4 linked regions of the Drosophila melanogaster genome follow. Changing the gene in region 3 together with the main gene of any one other region gives a genetic interaction. Each region holds a gene or a part of one and is shown on either strand. Other genes may lie near its edges.

Region 1 (7,230 bases), on a different chromosome or scaffold from region 3:
GGGCCGGATCCCTCAAATGATATTGAACCTGACCCACACACTGGCAAGGGTACATCGCCACCAGAGTCCAAATTCAAGGAACTTGGCCCATCCAAGCATCGCTACACCCTGCTAGAAAAAGATGAACTGTAATATAATAATAATAATGTATATTGAAAATAAAAGAAAATAATACAAAAATGTAATAATGAGCAACCTTCTCTGAAAGCAGATCAGCAGGTGAGCGGTTATCCATGCAAATAGCGGGCGCAGCAGCCTCAATTCTCTTCAATGCAATTCTAAAAATAAAAAGTCTGGATTTAACCACCTTTGTTATTGCAAAAAGAAACAGTTGCTGAATTATCCACAAATTGCACGCGTCACTTTTCAAGTTTTCCTCGTTTTGTTGTTAAAAATTACGCTGGAGATTTCGGCGAGGCGAACTTATTGAATTCTTTGGAATCCCCTTCTTAGTCAGCTAAGCTGGAAATGAATGATGTCAACTTCCGAATTCAAAGCAGTGATTTTGATTTTCTCTATATATATATATATATACACATATATATGAGCTATATATGTATACATATATATATGTTTATTCGTATGTACCATGTTACAGTTACAGTTGTTAAATTAGATTACATAATTATATAATATAATTCAGTCAAAACGAGCGATAACCGTGTGTGTGTTGGGATAAAAATCGGTTCAAATGAAGTCGTGTGCTGGCAATTATCATTTAAAAGTTGCTCTGACTGTTAATTTTAAAAGTACATTTAAAAGCGTACTCTCGCTACAATTAATAAGTAAAAGTGAAAAAAATAGGTGCCGCGTTCGGCTGGCTACCATGCGCTTAATATGGTCTCGAGCGCATGCCTCCATCGTTTCTCATCGGTCCACCATCGCGGCGATTGCCGCCACCACCTCCACGGCCACCGCGTCCTCCGCCATTGTTGTCATTGAAGCGGGAGTAGCCACCACCACCGCCGCCGCCGCCTCCGCCTCCCTGCGAGTTGCCACCGCGATCTCTGTTGTGATATCCACCGCCGCCGGATCCACGATCATTTCCTCGGTCGTAGCCTCCTCCGCCACCACCGCCGCCGTAGCCGCCGCCTCCACCACCTCCGCTAGAGCCCTCGTCGTCGCCCTTGGGAGTCTTACATCTGCAAATGGACGTGATTATTATTATCGTAGCAAGCCAAAGATTGTAAAATTTGTAGTTCCCCAAAGATAAAGACTTATGGCAATTATGTGGCGTATCAGCAAAAATTGCTTGCTTTCAAACACTGATAAGTTTTTCGTCTACACTTTGGGTTCTCCACGATATTTACAAGCAAGTGTGGAGTTTTAGGAATTATGATGGAATGGAATGTTGAAAGCAATTATATCTCAACTCTCAACTCACCTATTGCATTCGTTGCGCCAGGCAAAGTTGGTGTTATTACAGCTGTTGCATTTCCAGTCACCATCACGGGGCTGCACGTTGCCACCGCCGCCGCCACCACCACCGCCTCCTCCGCGATCGTAGCGTCCGCCGCCACCGCCTCCTCCGCGATCGAAGCGACCTCCACCGCCGCCGCCACCTCCTCCGCCGCCACCACCACCGCGACGTCCGCCAAATCCTCCGCGACCACCACCACCGCCGCCGCCGCCTCCGCCCTTGTTCCAGTTGTTCTGGCGCTGGGCCAGCGACACCTTGATCGCATTGCCGTTGAAGTCGCGTCCATCGAACCATTCAATGGCGGATTGTGCAGCATTGGTGTCGTCGTAGGTGACAGTGGCCTCTCCCTTGGAGGCGCCGGTCTCCTTGTTCTTGTACAGCCAAATCTTGGGCTTCATTGTACGCTTGTCTTTCTGTTGTTAGATCAGTTGCAAAGGAATAGAAAGATACAAAGGTTAAAACGTAGCTACAGATACATAAAATACATTACTACTTGCCTTGATGATGCCAATTGCTCCAAAGTGTGTCTCAATGTCCTGCTCGGTGGTCGAGGGATCCATGCCGGAGACAAAGATGGTGTCCTCCTGGGTGATCATGTCGTTGCCACCGGACCCACCGCCGCCGCCTCCTCCACCACCACCGCCGCCGCCCGAGTATCCTCCGTGTCCTACAAAAGCGAATGGGAAATAAGGACGAGCTGGCACGGCAGGGTATAGCTTAGAATGCAACTGCTACTTTATTTAATTAATATTTGGTTTTTTCATTTTCTTTTTTTTGTTTTGTTTTTTTCTTAGAACTTCTCGCCTCACTGCAACCACCAAAAAATGCAACGAAGGTGAGGACCAAAGTAGACGGCTGTTCCGTGACATTTTAACCAGGACACTTAGATGTGAAACCAGAATTTTGAGGTGTATTTCAAAAAACCTTTAGTGGGTGGACGACCGTGGGAGAGACGACATGGGGACACTTTGAACGGGTTTCGGTCGGCTTTTGAGCTATCAAAGCCAGACTGACTGGTACACAAGAACACAAACAGGTGACCCCAAATTGCCAGGAGTTAGCCCGACCGACCAACCCTTGATTTGATTCGTGACAACGCTTTGACACATGTATACAACACTTTACAGAAATTAAATACTAAATACCCGTGGGCTGACCGAGTCGGTCGTTAACCATTATATATTGATCAAACAGAGATCAACGATTTGGAAAAGTACGCTAAATACACTTTATAGGTAACGATGCGTGGACTTTTCGACGAAATTTCAAATGGGCAAGGCCCCACAATGAAAAGAATGCCGCCAGGAAAGGAGGATGTTTGTTTAATATGCATATTCAATTATTTACTCTTTTGGTTTGGAATTAGACTCTGTTTTTATGTTCTAATCGGTTTGGGTTTTCTTTTTTGTGTTTAAAATTTTGTTGTTCTACTTCGATTTTAGATTCAAGTTCAATATGTAGAAAAATATTGGTATACATTACTCGATATGTTTGCAATTGTTTGCATTATTTTTACCTTTGTTGTAGCTGTCCTTGCTGGCGCCTCCATTTCTAAAAGAGGATATTGAATAACTTATTTAATGCTTTGATTTTGGTTTTAATGCAGTATGGTGAGGTATACGCCTAGGATCCCTTGTTAGAATACGTATTGCTTTGTTCGATCTTATGGCATCTAATACCATCTATAGAGCACCCGGCACAGTTCGGTCAGTGACGACGACGTTCAAACAGCGAATGTCCGTTTTGTTGCTTTCCATCACAAAATTAGAGCCAAGTGCGGCGGCAGTCACTGATCAAACTGCCAAGGAGGACAACGTACATACTGTTTGCCATACATACACCTAACTCTTATACACATAATCTTAACGTTTGCATTAGTCTACTATTGGAAAAGCATTTGTTTACCAAATTCACAGAAATGAGAGGGAAGGAAGGAGTTCGACCCAGTTAAATACACTTATGTATGTAGTAGGTATATCGCAGCAAAATACCATCGTTATTAAACACACAACACTACCTACATACCTACATTCTTGCTTAACTACTATAAAACAAGCTTAAATGATAAATAATTCAAAAGTTTAGTAGTTTAGTAGTTGTTAAAATCACAAACAAAAAAAATACCTTAAAAACGGTCAATGAGATTGAAACTATATAAAACAAATTGCTTAAAACTATCTTACATTTAGATTGTTAGAGGTAAGCTCTCTCTTAGGCGCAAAATCATTGCTTTCTTATGTGTATAAACATATGTAATAACCTTAATAGCTAATAATTAAAATTTGTTATTATTTTTGTATACGTAAATACCTTAAGATGATTAGAGTCTCAGAACCATACCAATTCCTCCGAACTGTGCATTAATAATATATCGAATTTTTTTATTGTTTATTGTTTTTGTCTCGAGCCACAATTTATTTAATTTTATGATTGCTGGTTGATATTTTTTATATTCTTTTTAGCTTTATATCTTCGATTACACTTGTGTCATGTTTGATCTGGTTTTCATAACCATCCTGTTGGGAACACACACATTTTTTGAATGTTCATTTTGGAACATGTTTATGCTAGCATTGTATCGTATTAAGGCAGGAATGGATGATATAGTGTATGGTTTAAAACGATAATAATAACATGTGCGCGATTCTCTATGCAATTATCACAAATTCATCATAGATTTCATTAGGCGACCATTATTATTCCGATTGCAACGACTGTGGTATTACTTATTATTACTTATTCAGTATAACCAGTATTATTTATGCATTGCAGATATTTGTTTCCCCAGGGCATCATCTGTTTTTTTTTTTACCATTATACTCATTTGACTCGTCAAAACCATTTTGAAATACCATTTTCTAATATTTTTACACAGATTTTCGATGAAAAAAAAACAAACGTACATGAAATACAGTCATGCGGATAAATAATAATTTGCCAAATTGGGAGATACGTTTTTTTTTGTTGTTATAATTTTATGTTTTCTGCGTTTTTAAGCAGTCGGAACAAGTCGTAGTTGCAGGAATAGCTTCAAGCAGTTTCACACTCTGATGCAGCACAGTGCATCTCTTGCATTTCAATAATATCTTTAAAATACGCTTCATGTTTCAAGGAGTGGCTCGGTGTCTTTTCTCATTGGTTTGGCTGGATTGATTTGTAAATATTTATATATGCGTACACTTCTCTTATAACACTTAAAAAACCTCCGTGAAAGACTACTACCCATGATCTAAATAGCCTCGCTGTAACTCAACAGCAGCGAAATACTAAAAGTGGATAACATACCCGTAGGAATTGCCTCCTCTGTCGTTCCATGATCCGCCGCCGCCGCCACCGTTGCCGCTGCCACCAGAACCACGATGACCGGAACCGGAATCATAACCTTAAAAACATAAGTTTGTGAGTATTGGTGTGTTGCTCGCAACACAAAGTTCGCATGCACGCCTTACCACCGCCTTGTTTGCCGTAGTTCGGAGGTGGCTCGTTGTAGTTACCCGTTTTATTTGGCATTTGCTGGTAATTTGGTGGGGGGACAGCGAAATTATTATATCCCTGTCCCGAACCACCACCATAACCGCCACCTAGAGTGCACATATTTCATCGTTTTCAATTCACGTTGCGACTTATGCGCGTGTTAAAATTATACTTACGTTCCATGTTTAATAAACGTTGCGTGAAGTCTTTTTTTAATCAATAGAATTGCAGGAGTTTCAATAACTCGCTGCGTACAAATTGCTCGAATTGAAGAAAGCGTCAGATCGTCACAAATTCTATTGTAAAATGGCGTGTGAAAATTAATTAGGGATGTGCGTCGAAGGGGGCTGGTATGTGTGGGTCTTGTAGCGCCTATCGAAATATCTATCTATATATCATTGAAATGTGTGGGAATGGAACACAAATATGCCGAATATTATATTTGTGGGAAAATACGTATTAAATGGTAAAAATAGTTTTATTTAATACATTTTATCATTTATTTGCATCCAAATGGACTGAATCCAAGAGGTTTTAAATAATTAATCGGCAGCTTGATCGCTTTACAACACTAAAGCGCTTGCATCCCTGCAAACATTGTTTACAGTCGTTAGCACGTAACTTTGAATGAAAGTCGAAATCAGCTGTTTGTGCTTTGAAATTGAATTGGTGTTTACGTGGATTTAATTTTTTCTGAAATCAAATTAAAGCAGAGCCAAATACAAAATGATTGAAATATCAGATTTGCAGAGTAAGTAGCCATTAATATGCGAAAGCCATCAGCGCAACTAAACCGCCTATTGAAATCTTCCCGCAGAAATTGGCATCGGCTTGGCTGGTTTTGGCATTTTCTTTTTGTTTCTCGGCATGCTGCTGCTGTTCGATAAAGGACTGCTCGCCATTGGCAATGTACGTTACCCACATGCACATGCACCATATGCCCCATATAGCACACCCTTCGAGCTCTATAATAATAGCAATCGCCTCTTTCCCGCAGATTCTATTCATATCGGGCCTGGCCTGCGTCATTGGCGTGGAGCGCACGATGCGCTTTTTCTTCCAACGGCACAAAGTCAAAGGCACAACGGCCTTCTTAGGGGGAATCGTCATCGTCCTGCTGGGATTCCCCATCTTCGGCATGATTATTGAATCCTATGGATTTTTCGCACTCTTCAGGTTCGTAGCACCCTGGCCAAGTCCCAGTCGGATTCGTTTAAGACCATTTGAGCGGGGCTAACCGGTTACGCACTCCACATGGTCTTTTCGCTTTCCCGCTCTTAATACACCATTCGCAAGTCAGGGCTTGGCAGTCAAAGTTGCTGTCAGATGACATCCTTTAGAAATATTTTATATTTTAATTGAAAGACTGCAAGTCATGTAGATGGGACAATTTGACGCTGTGGCATTAACAGCAAATACCAAGTATAATTCTTCAGATTCGCTTACAAAAAAAGCTCGATCAGATTTTATAGCATTTGATCAGAGCTAAAGAAAGCAAAAAGTATGTCCTTCATTATAACTATTCGCTGTTTCTGTCTGTTTTGTTCTGTTCTGTCCTTTTATACATTTTTTCCTATCTATACCTCTCTCCTTTTACCTTTTCAATTGCATGCTTCTTCATAAGTTACGACCAAAGGTGCAACTTAATAATTACCCTAATATATGTAGGTCTTTTTATTCATTAAAATATCTTTTAACGAACGTTAAAAGGTCTGCTTCATATATATCGGATTAATGAATGGAAATCTATTCAAAGTAGGGAAAATATTCAGTGAATATAAGAATTTAACTTAACTTCGAAACGTGCAAGATGGCAATACAAGTGGAAGTAACTTCTTTTAGTGATTTGTCGTTTACTTATTACTTATTAATGTCCTTCTCTTTATATTTTCAGCGGCTTCTTCCCCGTGGCCATTAATTTCCTAGGCCGAGTGCCTGTTTTAGGATCGCTGTTTAATTTACCATTTATACAAAAGGTAAGGTAGCATGGAGCCTCACAAAAAATAAAAAATATAACATAGCAAATAGCCCATACTCATGATCACTTAACGCGCTCATCTCGCCTTGACGCGAAAGCCCATTGAAATAAACTGAAGGGTCCACATTCCCAAACGACCACGCAGACTCGATTTCATAGCCAATTTTGGTATTTATCTAAGCTATGTATTTCAACATTTACAAGTCCAAAGTAGAGGGATTTAGTGGCGCGTTTAGTGGATCTTTTCCCAGTCCTCACGCTCCTCGCGCTCCTTCACGACCTCCTTGAGGTAGGGTTCCAGATACTTGACGTCCTCCTCGTACTTGGTCCACTGCTCCTTGGGCAGAATGGTCTTGGT
Region 2 (4,901 bases), on a different chromosome or scaffold from region 3:
ACTTCCAGTGTGAAATCATTTACAATTCTAGAAAGCAAGGAGGGTGTGGTTTCTTGCAGCCCCAAGTTCGAAACCCTTGTACTCATGTGAATGATCTGGTCTGAGAGAGGCAGCTTAATCAGCCGGGCTGTATTTGCTTTCTTCGCTGCCCCACAGTGCTCTTTTAGTCTCCATCAGCGAAATAAAAGTCTACATGTCGTCTCACTTTATTTTCTTTATGACACAATTCTTCGCTGTTTCGGAATGTCTTTTGATAAAAATATAAAAGTGAAGCAAAACGAAATCTGCAGCCGAGAGTTGTGTGTCCAGAAATTCTTAAGAAATGACTAAAGGCCAGGCCACTAACACTTATGAAGAATTCCAGCTGACTTGCCCTACACCTACGCACAGTGGTCTAAGAGCCCGCTAAAATTTGCTTATCGGCTGGGCTTGTAGGATTCTAGATCTTAAGAAACTTTCATATAGAGCTTTTGCAAAATCATGTTAAATAACAAATAATATTTCAGATCACTTTTTAGATTACAATAATATAATAATAACTATAATACTGAAATTCGTTCGAGATCTTAAAATCTCAGCATAAATATTCTGCCCTCGAAGCTTTACTTCGCACAGGAAGTAGAGGCTTCAGCTTCATCTCCAACTTCATCTTGATCTTCTCCAGCAACTCAGTTGCATCAATCTTGCTTTGCTGCCATTAGTGAGTGCGCGCCCACTTCATCGCCCACTCGACACGCAATGTCTTCTGTTCGTGTTGCGTGTGCGCACTGTAACAGCAAAGACGAGATGATCTGTCGAGATCGGTTAGGTCTGTCTGGGCATTGAGCGTCGATGGCGTTTTCCGCCGAGGGGAGCACTCCAACTGCAGAGCAATGATCGCTTATGGTTACGGGGAAAGGTTCGCACAGTGGGACGAAAGGTTAAAGAGTTTTTGAGATCCCATTTCTGCCTTTTCTGTGATCGTATCAATGTATATCACAGTGTTCATGGTCATGAAAGTATATAATTAGTTATCTTCTATGTTTGTCGATAAACAATTGTAAAGCCTAAGCAGCTGTTAAGTGATAAGCATTTCCAACATGACTGTCCCAGAGGAATTTTGTTTATACCAATTTTCACTGTCATTTTATGAAACATTTAATCTTGCGGATTGTCTGTACAATTGAAGATAGTTTCAGAAATGTTTTGATATTGGATGCCTTTGACTCACGTTTTCGTTTATTCGTCAGCAACGAAGGGGTTGGTTTTCTTGGCAGCTGGCCCACTGTTCACACACCCAAAGGAAAGCTCCAATCGGGCGACAATATTTTCGTCCGCTCTGGTTTCCTTTCGCTGTGCCTCCCACTTGCGGTCGAAATGCTCAGCCGCAGGCCGCAAGCCAAAATGAAAAGCCACTCCAAGTGAAAAGCTACGTGGTGGGGCTCTTTCTCTCTTTTAACTGGCTCTCTTGGCACTGAAAATAAAATACGACAATATGGACTCTGATTTAAAATACATTTTTTTTAAATTCGATTTTTCAAAATTAGTTTACTACTTGTTTACTAGTTTATTAGTTGTTTACTCAGAAACAACAATAATCATAATACTGGTTTCACAAGCTGTAACCGCTGATACATACTTTTTAAACATTCCTTTAGATATATATTACTTTAGATATAGCCCCTATTACGAAGCTAAGCTATCGTTTTGAATATACTATGCCTATCCATACATCCATACATCTATAAATCTAAGAAGATTTTTTCGCAGTGCAGTTTGTTTACCAGCTCTCAAACGCTTCGCTCTCTTGCTCCCCCGCTCTCCGTGAGCAGCTGCGAGAGAGCCGGAGCGCTCGTCTATTGGAGCCTCAGCATCGGGCCCCCCTTTGGATTTCAGTCGATTGCGACGCTTTTACTGAATCGCGAGCGCAGCGCGTGTGTTTTTCGGAGTCTCTCGATTGCGGTCTCCCAACGGCGTCCTACGATCTCTGGGATTAATATATAGAATATGTGACAACACACTGCCAAAGGTGCAGGCAAAAGTGCACAGATAACGCGATAGAATATACATATAAGAAACCAAGCCTAATCAAAACAAAAGGCAACGAAAAAGTGTTTAACGGCAAACTACGGCGGGAAAAAGTTGATGAAAATCAGTGGAATCGTGTTAGTGGCAGGTTGGAGCGTGGGAAATTGTTTACTTCGAGTGCAAGAACAGTTTGCAGTAAAAAAAAAAGTTGACAAACATCAAAAGATATCTAGCACTAAGATAAACGATAAAGCAGGAATGCCAGAAGCAGTTAGCTAAAAAAAATAATATAATATAATAAACTGGCCAAGATTTATGGATCCGTGTCACTCGCCTTAAGATTCCACTAACTCTTGGCAAATCTTTTCGGCGCGTTGCTCGCAAAACATTTCAATTTCATTAGCATTTCCACTAATTATGGAACTAATTATCAACGGACAAGACATTCGAATATATGACATATTTGCCCAGATCTGGCAGAGCATAGAATTTTGGTTAGCCCCATTAATTTTCGCCTCGGGGCCCCGAACGGATTAAGATCGTGGGTGTGTTGAGATGGAAATTAATTCGGTATTTCTGTGTTTTTCTGGAGGGAAATGACCGAAATAGCCAAACAAACATAACAACAGGCAGCAAAAGCAATTAAATTGTGCCCACTTAATCTATTAAAATTATGACATTTTTCACATATTTCAAGCAATCGAAGCCAAGTGCATTCTCACGAGTGGTGGTGGTAGTGCGATGGGGGGGGGGGGGACTTCCTTCCCCTTCCCCTCGTAAAAGTATCTCGAGTTACGACAGCAGATGGAAATGCTGGAGAATGATGTAAACTCGGCTGACATAGTGCGCACAAATGAATATTTTGTTGTTGGGGGGTTCTGCACTTACGAGAATCGCTTTCGTTTTCTCCCCAATATTTTGTATCTCGCAGATACGTTCAGTGGATGCCATTTGTTTACGACCAGACAGCTGCTGTCTTTGTCTCTCCGATTGTCTGTGCGTTTTGAAACCTCTAACTAAGTATCTACAGATCACTCTGGATCTCTGGATTATTTGGGTTTAAAAGCTCGTTTTAAGCCCCAACTACTTAGCACCTCTGGATTCTCCATCATCGTAATTCATAGTGCAGTGAGTTCATCGCCAGGTTTGAGTTCGATTTTCGTTTGCTCAGCGAGTTGCTCTGTGTTTTGTTGTTGTTGTTCCTTGTTTCTGTTCTTTCAACTGGAAACAAGATTCTTATCGCCCAGCCATACAAATTCAATTAGAGTGTGTTGTTTCGATTGCTAGCGAAAGATGAGTGGCTTCGATAGATTTCGAAATCGTTAATTGTTAGCAGCGAGTTGATGTGCAATTAAAACATTGGGTTAGATTCATTGCTCACAAATATTTTGAAATAAATAAGTGCAATACTATTGAATTGTTTGCAATCGACAAATATAACCAATTAAGCTTCCATTGAGCCAATCAAAAGACATTGATATTTAATTCCAGAAAAGCCTTTTATCTGCTCAGTACGTAGGCCATTGGCCAATATAGGGTCTATATATCTTATCAAGACCCCAAAGGCCCCAAAAGTCAGTGGGCGATAGCTCGTCGCTTTTTCCCGAACCTATTACAGAAGTGGAATGTGAAAAGCACGCACAGTTTACAGCGGCATAAATTGGCCAAGTTTATTGAAAGGCCCGGCTAAAGGCCACTGAGCGGTGAAGAGAGATCGGTATCACCCACACAAATGAATTTCCCTGGGCTGATACCCACTTTTCCGTTTGGCCACGCATTGCGTTTTCACCTTAGCGCCTTCGGCAAGGTCAACACTCGCATTCACACACATTTTATCTACTTACTAATAAAATATTTATATTGAGATCGCTAGGAATTTCCTGCAAAATAAACACGAAATTGTGCCTTTGACTTTTGAATTTGACTTCGTAGAAGGAAGACCGAATCGAGAACAACAATTTCGGCCCGACGTCATTCCCAAATGGACTGAGTAATGCCTCAGGTGTGGAGGTAAATGGATTTGGACTTGACTATAGCCAAGACCTGGAAGGAAAGTGAGATTTTTATTTTCTTATTGCCCTTCCTTTTGGCAACGATCTGCGGAAATCTCTCGTATTTTCAATTAATTTCGCTCGATTTTCCCAGTTTAGCCTCCCTTTGTTAGACGACGAAACGTCGCCTTTGATTTGCTAGAAATGTTTTTTTTTTTTGTTTTTTTATTTTTCTTTTGGATATTTTTAGTTGGCGATCATTGGTGTTGACGTAATTTGGCAACCTTGATTCCCCGTTCCCTTCTCGATACTCGTATTTTTGGCCCGGCTCGCTTTGTGTTCGGTCGGTGAATTTATGTTTATTATTTTTTACCTTTTTCCAATGTGTCGTTATTTGTTTGGAACGAAAATCTAAAATGTGGCCTGCATGTTCATTTTGGTATTTTTATGCTTCCATAAATCTGTCTTTATAGACCGTTTGTTGGCTCAACTAAATCTACAGGCCATCGTAAATTGAGTTAGTTGCATAGATCATCTATTGAGATTCACCCACGCACATTGGGATTAGGAAGTCAGAGTAACTGGTCCGGACTTTTTGGTCTGATTTATCGCTCTTGTTGGTGTTTTTATGGATCTTTAGATACGGTTAGATTGATTTGCATCTTCAGTGATTACGCTATAAAGAACCATTTTTGACTTCTCTATCTTTTTGATCTTTAGATACGGAAGATTAAGGTGCATCTTAAGTAGAGTAATCACTTCAGATGAAGATCATTTGACTTGTTTGACAGTGGACTTTCATTGACTTAACTAAATATCTTTGTTTCGAGTATTGATTTAGGTAATTTATTTCTTAGGTTTGAAGCATGATGAACTGATGAACTGACAGACAATGTTTACATT
Region 3 (4,703 bases):
GGAGCGAGCGCCCGGCGGCACCGTCGAGGTCACCATGCCACTGTGTCCTGGCCCGGCGATTCCCGGTGCACTCAGCGGCTGGGCGGCGGGACAGGCGAGCGTGGGCAGCGTCGAGGGCGGACTCTGCGGAGCGTTGGTTGGAGGCGTGTTGGGCGACGAGGTGGCAAGGTGAGTTGAAACGGCATTCTGCAAGTTAAGTGGAAGACAACAACGTTGAGTGCATTTGCTTAACGGAGCTAACAAGCGTTTGGTACTAAAAATAGCTGTCCAAGTTGATTATGAACAATATGTTGTACAATAAGTAAACAAATTTGAAATAAAATAATAAATAAAATTTATAAATTTAAGTACTGCACTACTAATCCCTTGATAGCTTATAATAAAATGTTTTAAGGCCTCTTTCTAAAACGAAACTTTTTTAGAAAAATGTTCTTCATCTTTGAAGTTAATTTCAGTAAATTGATTATCCGACTTTGATCTTTTCCAATTCGTTTCTCGAGTTTATGGCGGCCATTAAGGCGCTGCTTCTTGCGCTGGATAAAAAGCCCCAATAGACGGTCTACTGTACCGCGCTACCAGCTGGCACTAAAACTTAATTAAAAACGTAGCCCCTTATCAGTGCGATAAGAGCGTCTCTTCAGTGGGATGGGTTGTGGGCTGTCCACGGGCCCTTCAGAACTGCAGAGCCTCAGAACCACAAAACTGGGATCCCAACCGATGGATTCTTCCCCCCCTACAAACTGTGCTCTCTCCTCTCTCCACTCCCGAAAACCCCTTTCCCCTGCGATCCGGCGATCTTCAAAGTGGGGCCGCCATTACCAACAAATCATGTTTTCGATTGACAACATTGATTTAAATTACACAGCCGATTGCTGCCAACGACGACAGCGGCAACAGCAACAACAACGACAAGCTGCAACAACGTCCTAAGAGCAATTTGATTGTAAGTTGTCCAATGACTGCCTGGATCGATCCTCTATATGGTATGGTATGGTATGGTATAGCATGGTATATAGTGTGTTTGTGTGTGCACATAAGCCTATCGCGCACTTTTGTCAACACTTTTAGTCAACTGAAACAACTGCAAGAGCAACAACTGCAACAACTTCAGTGGACAAGAGCAACGTACACATTCGCACACATGCGACATGGGGTAAGGAAAACAAGTTTCAGGTTTGTTTATCGCTGCCTCCTTGGTTAACTTCTCCACTTCTTGAGGCTTGGGGCTGTGGGCTTTGGGGCTCCAGGGGCTCCGGGGCTTCGGGGCTTCGGGGCTTGGAGCCGCTCTTCCCGTTTAACATTTTACAAATGATCCGAGGCGTAAGATACGATTTTTATCGCAGGCCGGCGGTCACAGTGCTGCATGTTGTATCATCGGTCGTGATTGATACCGCCACAATGTTGTCGCTGATGTTGCTGTTGCAGTTGGGATTCGGTTCGGTGTTGCGTCTCGTGCTTTCATCAAGTGACAACTCAAGTGGCCCTATGCGATTAAAAATTAATTCCCGGTGTTTGCCGGATGGCTGGATGGATCCACAATACACTCGTACGATTTCTTATCAATGCGGCTCTTTGAATCAACCGCCGATGATTATCGACTATCTATGGCTACAGGCTATAACTATAACACAACAAATATCTCAACTCGAAGTGGTCGTTTTGCGGCTAAAGTAAATTATTTTCGGGTAGCCATTATGATGGCGAGGGTAGAGTGACAGCCATTCATGTTTGTTTAAAGAGCATTTAATATTTCCGATATTCCGTTTCAGCTTTCGACTTTGCGCCACAAGTTGCTTTTACATACATATATGAAAATATATGAATATGCTCGAGTGTCGAGTGCAAGCGATTAAATTTTTGGAACAGGGATACCATATTAACTGGGGATCGTGTTACCACTGAGGGATTATTATGGCTAAAATCCTATTGGACACTCAAGTGTGACTGAGCACGATGTGCGGTGACCTTGCCAGCTTGGTTAACAACCAAAGAGACATTGATGCATAAGAGAGATTTTCCGAATTGGCAGACGGTTTTTCGCGTGTTGTTCGCCCAATGTAGCACACTTGTGGTCCTGACATTTTCAATCTGTTTTATTTTTAAATCCATGTCTTCCGTTTGCCAAATCAAAATGCTAAGGTATTCGAACCCAGAGTAATCCCACTGTTTCTGCTTTTATCTACATGTGTTGCACTGATTTGCCTCGTAGCTGAACGGGTTTTCAATCTAATTGCCACTATCCAAATGCCAGACAAGCTAAAATGCAGCGATTAACTGAACCATCTTACAAGTAATAAAAAATGGGGGAAAAAAAACAAATTGATATACGCACCATTACTAAACAGATACCGGTTTCATTACTGTGCACTGTCATTTAATATTAATTTTTGCTTTTAACTAAAACTATAAAGCAAATCTTAGAGTTACGATGCACCGATGGACTCGCGCACTGAACCGACGTATGTGTATTTAGATAGATTTATAATCCGAGTGAAGTGATTGTGATTGTGCGATCTGTGATCTTGTGATTGATCCGAACTAGTTTTTATGTTGATTTTGGATCCGGCTTGCGAGCTATTTCAGTGTTTACTTTCTTTGGGCTGTGTTTATTTTTTTTTGTTATTCGTTTCGTTGCACTGCGTTGCACTTGCCGACGGCTGCAAGGAGCTGGCCAACTCGAGTTAGCTGGCCAACACAGGCGCTACTGGGCACCGTAAATCCGTAAAATCCGACGGGCGGCTCGACGGGAATCGTTTATGTGAGTCGTTTAAATTTGTAGAATTGGTAGAATCGGTATTCGGGAGGAGCAGCTCTATCCGGAGGATGCGAAAACGAAGCACGAATGAACCAGAGGCGGCGGCAGCAAATAGTAGTATCTGGGTGTGAATCTGATTCTGTTTCTGAATCTGGGTACTGAATTTGAATCCAGCTCGCAGAACGACGGCGAGCGGCGGGCAGAGAGCACTATTATTCACACTGCGGCACTGGCACTGCGGCGGACACGAACGATACGAACAATCTGCGTAACAGTCAAAAGTAGACTAACATGAGTTTCTTGAGCAACTACAAAGTGTACGACAAATGGGAATTACACGACAACCGACAATCGAAAAACAGCGCAGCGCAACAACAAGAACAGGCCCACGCACCACCACATCGATACATAGCCCGCGCCGCGTTTGTATGTGTGAGCGAGAGAGCGCACAAACGGGTTTCTCCCCTTAATTTTTACTCGCACCTTCGCTGGTGTGCGTGCGCTCTCTTTGCTCTTTTTGAGAGCGGCCAAGTATCTGTGCGCTGGTGTGCGTGCGAAAAGTATCTGTGTGCGCTGGAAAAAGTAGCAAACGAGGCGGCACGACGACAACACGAACGGCAACAACGGCAATAATGATTATCATTATAAGTGGGCTGGCGCTCCGGCTGTGTGTGGCACTCAGGGGATTGGGATTGGAATCGGCATCGGAATCGGTATGCTACGGTAGATACCCCTCAACCCCCTACCGAAACGTAGCCACCAATCTCGCTGCAAGTGCGAGCGAGACGCAGCAAACCAGTTGGTTAGGTGGAGGGGTGGGGGCAACAAAAAAAGTATCTACCGCCTGTGTGACCATAAATAAAGTATCTGCCAGCTGCGGCCGGGCGAGAGCGGGATGGCTATAGCCGCTGCGCCGTTGGCCACGAATCGCAACCAAGCGGCAGCGACAGCGGTAGTATCGCAACTTGCTCGCGTTGGCTGTCGTCTTGCTGGCGTGCGAGCGAGATGGCATAGCAGCAGCAGCAGCAGCAGCGGCGACAAGAAGCAGCAGCAGCAGCAGCAACACCGAGAGCGGCAGAACATGAAAAAATTAACTTAACAACTAGAAAAATGGCTGTTATTGCGTGTTGTTGTAAATGCCGATGTATGTATTTGTAGGCGATGTTGTTGCTGTTGTTGTCGGCGATGATGTTGCTGCTGTTGTTGCTGCTGCTGTTGCTGTTGCAACGCTGCTACTTGCTGCTGCTGCCGCAGTTGCTGTTGCTGCTGCTGCTGCTGCCGTGGGTGTTGCTACGTGTAGTTGTTGCCATAAACAACGCAACAACAACAACAACAACAAGACGAATGTCGCGACGTATGAAAGCAAAGTGTTTACGCTCGCTTCTCGCTTTTCGCCGTTGATGAAAAAAGAAAAGCCTGATGAACATGAACGACGAGACTCGTGAAGAGGTTGGGCCAAACGCGATGGGTAATGTTTTATCATCCGCCTCTGCCGCAGTCGCTGCTACGGCCGTTCCCCTCCAGAAACCCCCTCCTCCCCCATTACCCCATCCCTTTGGCAACCAACCCCCTGCACCGCCCCTCTTGACCGCTTTGGCTCTTTGGCTGGATTGGTGGCATCTTTCGCGCTGCTCCAACAAAAAAAGAAAAAAAAAAAATCAGAAGAAAAAACGAGAAGAACAAAAATCGCCACCGCAGCTGCCGTCGCTGCTTTTGCTGCTACAACATACGCTCTTACATTTTATTATGTAGGTATTTGTTTTTTGTTTTTTGTTTTTTGTATTTTCGTACTTCGCTTCTCGTTTTTGCCGTGGCGTTTCTTTAACTTTTTCTAATTAATTGAAACGCCACTCGAGAGGAGTGACGGCAGCTGCTAGAGCGGGATGGCGTCTATGTGCTACATATGTATCTGAGTGCTGAGCACATTTGAAAGCTACTTTGTCGTTCC
Region 4 (4,646 bases), on a different chromosome or scaffold from region 3:
GTCGAAATTTCTACCAGTGCATTGGCCTAATTGAGAAACTAGCTTCAATACCAAAATTGGCTCATTGTCCTGGCCATAAAAGGCACACACACACTCAAACACACCATCAACGCGATGTAATAAAAAATCGAAACAAAAAAATAACTAGGCAAGAAAAACGTGCCATGCCTCGAATAATGAAGTTAATAATAAAAATGAAAAGAGAAACATTTGCCGCTAACGATAAACCAAATTTGTACAAATAAAAAAAATTAATAAACAATCGGCGTGCGCGTTTCTTTCGCTGTGTGTGTGCGTGTGAGTGAATAACTAAGTTTTTGCCACCAAAGTTGGATTTGCCATGCCATACTAATACTATACCCATATGTACATATGTACAATATATATGCACAAACCGAAATCGTAGACATAGCAACGGGTTTATATTTCTGTACCGACGACTTGCCAATTAGCAACAAAAGTTCTTGCGGTTGATTAATTATTCTAAAAATTCAATAACCCCACCTACCCGTATGAGCGAATGACAGAAAATAATAATAGAACAAAAAACTGTTTTTAAGGTCAGCACGGGGAGTGAAATCTGCATTATAAATGTCGTTGAAACACGCCTTTTTGTTGTACACGCATACGTTTGCACTTTGTAAAGAGGGCATTTCAAATATGTTTTTTTTCGAATATTACCTTGTTTTTTCTGAATTACTTTAATTCTTAAATGTGTAAATTTCAATTCCGATTAAGCATTAATCTCTGTATTATGTTTCATAGTGACCACTGTACTAACTCGCTGTATGTATGCATTACTTCTCCCATTGTTGTTGTTGCTGCTGCTGCTGCTAAGTGCGTCTAGTAATTTGCTGATAATTATCAACAAATGGGCGCTCACGCACATTCAAATGTAAATTAGGCAGTAGAGAGGGTGGGAGAGAGCGACTAGAGAAAGAGAGGGAGCATTTGGTCCGGGCAGACGCAACAATAGCAATAACAAAAGCAACGCATCGCTCAAATCTCATGCGATGCAGTTGCCAGCGAGAGTTTTGTTGCTAATTACATACACACATCGATGGCCAGCCAGTCAGAGTGCAAGTGCGTCTGTGTGTGTGTTTGATGAAGGGGAGTGGGGGCGGTTAACTTCAGTTGGCAACTGTGGGACCAATGTACAGCAAAAGAGGCTGGTACAGTGTTCAAATTAAATTGATTTGATTGACGACAGTTTTTCTATCAATAAAAAAATTTAAAAAAAACATCTTAATACAGCAATATTGTTTCCCGTGCACCATGATTTTATTAACTCATTTGTGGTCCACTAATTTTCATATACTAATCATGATTTCCCTAATAAAATCCACCAAAACCAGTAACTTTAATGGTTAGCTAATTTCAGTAGCTGATTTTCACCCCATTGTTTTTGTTTACAAAAAGGCAGAGCTTAATTTGAATTTCAACATTTCACATTTAACATATCAATGATAAAGAATGCATACATACACACGCACATATTAATTCTAGGAGCTATTGTTACGACTTTTTTGTATTTTATGAACAATATGATGTGCAAATGTTTAAATGTTGAGGCTTAGGGTTTATTTAACAAATGAATAGAATTTCTTGAATACAAATTTTGTGGCCTGACCAGCTACAACAAATACACACGGTCACACTGAGACCCACCGCTCTCTTGCCAACTCTCTAATTCCCAGAGAGCGGGGGTGTGCTGGTATGTGTATGTGTGCAAGTTGTGGAAATGAATGAAGCTCTGCTTGCCAACAACGTAAAAGCAAGTGTAAGAGCAAGCCCGGAAGAGGGGGAACAAGAGAGAGAGAGAGAGAGACTGGGGAAGTGAGATGGCGAGAACGGAAGCGGGAAGGGAAATACAAAATTTTCCAATTGGCAAGCACATACAACATGGGGTAAAAGAATTTCGCTTACCGTTTTTCGCTTATTGACGTAGGCGTCCGTTTCTCTCTGTACGTATATGTTTACGTGTATGGGTGTTTATTGCTGTTTTTCTCTTTTATTTTATTTGCTCGGCTTGTTTTTGTTATGCAAAAGGCATAGACTTTTTCGGGTTTTACACGTTAAAAACACAAACACTTTAAAAATTATTTAACTGCTCGCTAAGCCGTTGGTTCTCGCTCTCCCGCGCTGCAAATGCACTGCAAACAAAATGTTGGATTATGGCTGGCTGGGCTTTACAACTTTTCCACGAGCAAAACAACGCACGACTGTGGAAAACGCGAACCGACGAACCGAAAACCGTGAAAAGTGTTCATTCATTGAGGAAAATTGAAATGAGCGCCTAGCATGTGACTCTCTCGCGATTGCTCTCTATGTCTCTCTATCTCTCTTGCCCACACTCGATTTGGGGGCCAGTGTTGCCAACTCAGAGCATAGAGCAGAGCCCAATGCCAATAAGCCGAATCGGGGAAAAGGAGTAAGCAAAGCAAAAAGCCCTGCCTCAGATACTCCAATTCTGATTCGAACTTATTAATTATTTAATTGGGATTCTCGGGCAGCAGTATTGTGGGCTGGCAACACTGCTCCTCTGCACAGACAGCGCGTCGACGTCAGCGTGTTAGTGTTTGTGTGCGTGCTGCGCTCGCTCTCTTTTCCTCATTCACACTCGCACCCTCTCTGTCGCACGCGCATTTTCGATTGATTGTTGTTGTTATTATTATCTTTATACGAGCTTAATCCAATATTTAGCCAGTATCTATGCAGCCCAGTTTGTTTTCCCAGCTCTCTGTTTCACTTGTTTTCACACCTACACTTGTGCGTGCGCTCGCGTTTGTGTGCGTAAGTGCCTTGTATTTGCAAACGAATTTAATTTGCGACACCTAAAAATCGAACAAATGTCGCCACAAACCGTTTTATTCACACAAAAGCCTGCAGGCGCTGCCCGATTTGGCTATTATTGGGGTTTTGTGCGCGGGGCACAAGAGCAATTCACAGGAGCTCCACCTTCCGACATCCGCGACACGTCCGTGCGATTCCGAGCATGAAGTGAGAATCTGCTGGAGACCATTTGCCCCATTTGAGAAAATACCCCCAAAGTGGGACCGTTGGCCGGATTGGGCAAAATCTTACAAGTTGCGTGGCAAAGGCGAATGATACGGTTACACTGGCGCCGCGAGCGGGTGCAACCAAATGTTGTAACTTTTCGGTGATAGAGCGATATATAAATAAATAAAAATTGTAATTGCTTCTTAACATTTACTTTTAGCATGGTTTGCGAATTTATACAAAGATTGTATGAACTGGCTTGTGTACAATCTATCGTTAAGTTAGTCAGTACACGAACCTCTACAGTTCTACACTTCAGTCTGGCAATGCCCAACGTTCTTAAAAATTATGAAATTGTGGTAGCACTGAAAAATATCTGCCACATTTATATTCATTTCTTGTAGAGTAAAGGGGTGTAATATTGCTATTATTGTTTTTAGGTTTTATTGTTTAAGTTAAGTTACTTATATAATATAGTACTGTGTGCAGGAACTTCGGCTGTGTAGGTTGTTTATGATAATCTTCTTTGAATGCATTATTTACATGTAGTAACTTAGTCCAATGTTGTTCAGTTGTTTGGATTATAATAAAAACTAGCATAGTATTATTTACAATTTATGTTACTTTCTTTTTTATTAATATTTCGATTTTATGGAATAGGACAGTTCCTAGGAAATGTGGCATTTATAAAAAGATCAAGGCATCTGTCGGTCTTAAAGATGGTCTGTTTGGTTTAAATGTTACATATGAGATTAGTTCTTAAGATTTGGAGAGATGTCCTTGATTTGATAAAAGGCGTGGAAGAAAGTGTTTTCGAAACTGTAAGGTATATATATTCCGTCTGTCTTGATTTTCCTTCCGTCGAGATTTAGGAAACTTTAAAATCAAAGCCAAGTAAATGTAGATGATTTATATAATCTTAAATAGGTAAGGTAACACTTAAAAACAAACGTGTATCAACAAAAGTTTTTACGAATACGTAATATGCATAATATGCATAGGCATATGCATCCCAGAAAATTTCACAACTATTAAAACATTTAATAAACCAAAATACATTGTTGAAGGCTGTTCAAAATAATCCCCAGAGTAAATAAAAGCTAATGATTGGCAAGCCAAATTTTAAGTGTGACAATAGTCATTTAATTTAAGTACCGCTCCATTTGAGCTTGAGCTTAAAAACTTCTCATTAAACTCAACTTTCTTGAGTGGATAATTTATGAATGCACTATCCTCAAATGAGACCGCTCATATGGAAGGAGCCGTAAAAAGTGCAAACATTCATCAAATTCGCGCCGGAACTTTGGAAATATGAAAACCGCGCTATGTGATCCGTGCACCTGGTGCCGTCTAGCGACATAAATTACGCATACGTCGTGTTAACCGTGGGAAAACATATAAATGTGTTTGCACCCACGCGACAGCGGCAAAAAACAAATTGTTGTACCTTCTGTTGCTGCTGCTATTATTGCCATAACTTTGGACTTTTATTAGCAGAAAACTCTCGGAGCGAATTTTGGCTCCATCAACGAAGAGGCAGCATTTCCAGTTTAATGAGCTGAAAAGTGCAAGTTGAGATACGCAGGTCCCGAAGTATTAGGTTCATTTGATTAATTGGTGGAGCTGGAAAATTTTGCGGCCTAAGT

What was found.
Region 1: of mirr (region 3) and caz, changing one suppresses a phenotype caused by changing the other (phenotypic suppression), as found in Drosophila melanogaster (one study listed by BioGRID).
Region 2: of mirr (region 3) and Pax, changing one suppresses a phenotype caused by changing the other (phenotypic suppression), as found in Drosophila melanogaster (one study listed by BioGRID).
Region 4: of mirr (region 3) and cic, changing one suppresses a phenotype caused by changing the other (phenotypic suppression), as found in Drosophila melanogaster (one study listed by BioGRID).

Annotation. Positions count from the first base shown.
Region 1 is NC_004354.4:16,286,798-16,294,027, reverse strand, and holds caz (cabeza), read right to left. Parts: upstream 5,219-7,230; 5' UTR 5,078-5,218; coding exon 5,071-5,077; intron 5,002-5,070; coding exon 4,870-5,001; intron 4,803-4,869; coding exon 4,706-4,802; intron 2,972-4,705; coding exon 2,937-2,971; intron 2,088-2,936; coding exon 1,918-2,087; intron 1,834-1,917; coding exon 1,385-1,833; intron 1,143-1,384; coding exon 833-1,142; 3' UTR 508-832; downstream 1-507. Other genes in the region: ERp44 (endoplasmic reticulum protein 44), read left to right, coding at 1-132; UQCR-14 (Ubiquinol-cytochrome c reductase 14 kDa subunit), read right to left, coding at 7,105-7,230; CG32576 (uncharacterized protein), read left to right, coding at 5,621-5,645, 5,712-5,803, 5,892-6,070, 6,789-6,870. UniProt on the Drosophila melanogaster protein: May participate in a function common to the expression of most genes transcribed by RNA polymerase II.
Region 2 is NT_033779.5:19,420,522-19,425,422, reverse strand, and holds the start of Pax (paxillin), read left to right. Parts: upstream 1-1,870; 5' UTR 1,871-2,008; exon of another isoform or gene 2,009-2,144; intron 2,145-4,901.
Region 3 is NT_037436.4:12,691,983-12,696,685, reverse strand, and holds the start of mirr (mirror), read right to left. Parts: upstream 3,048-4,703; 5' UTR 2,375-3,047; coding exon 2,333-2,374; intron 187-2,332; coding exon 1-186.
Region 4 is NT_033777.3:20,251,134-20,255,779, reverse strand, and holds the start of cic (capicua), read right to left. Parts: upstream 3,011-4,646; 5' UTR 1,927-3,010; intron 1-1,926. UniProt on the Drosophila melanogaster protein: Transcriptional repressor required for the specification of numerous cell types during embryonic development. Required for terminal patterning of early embryos.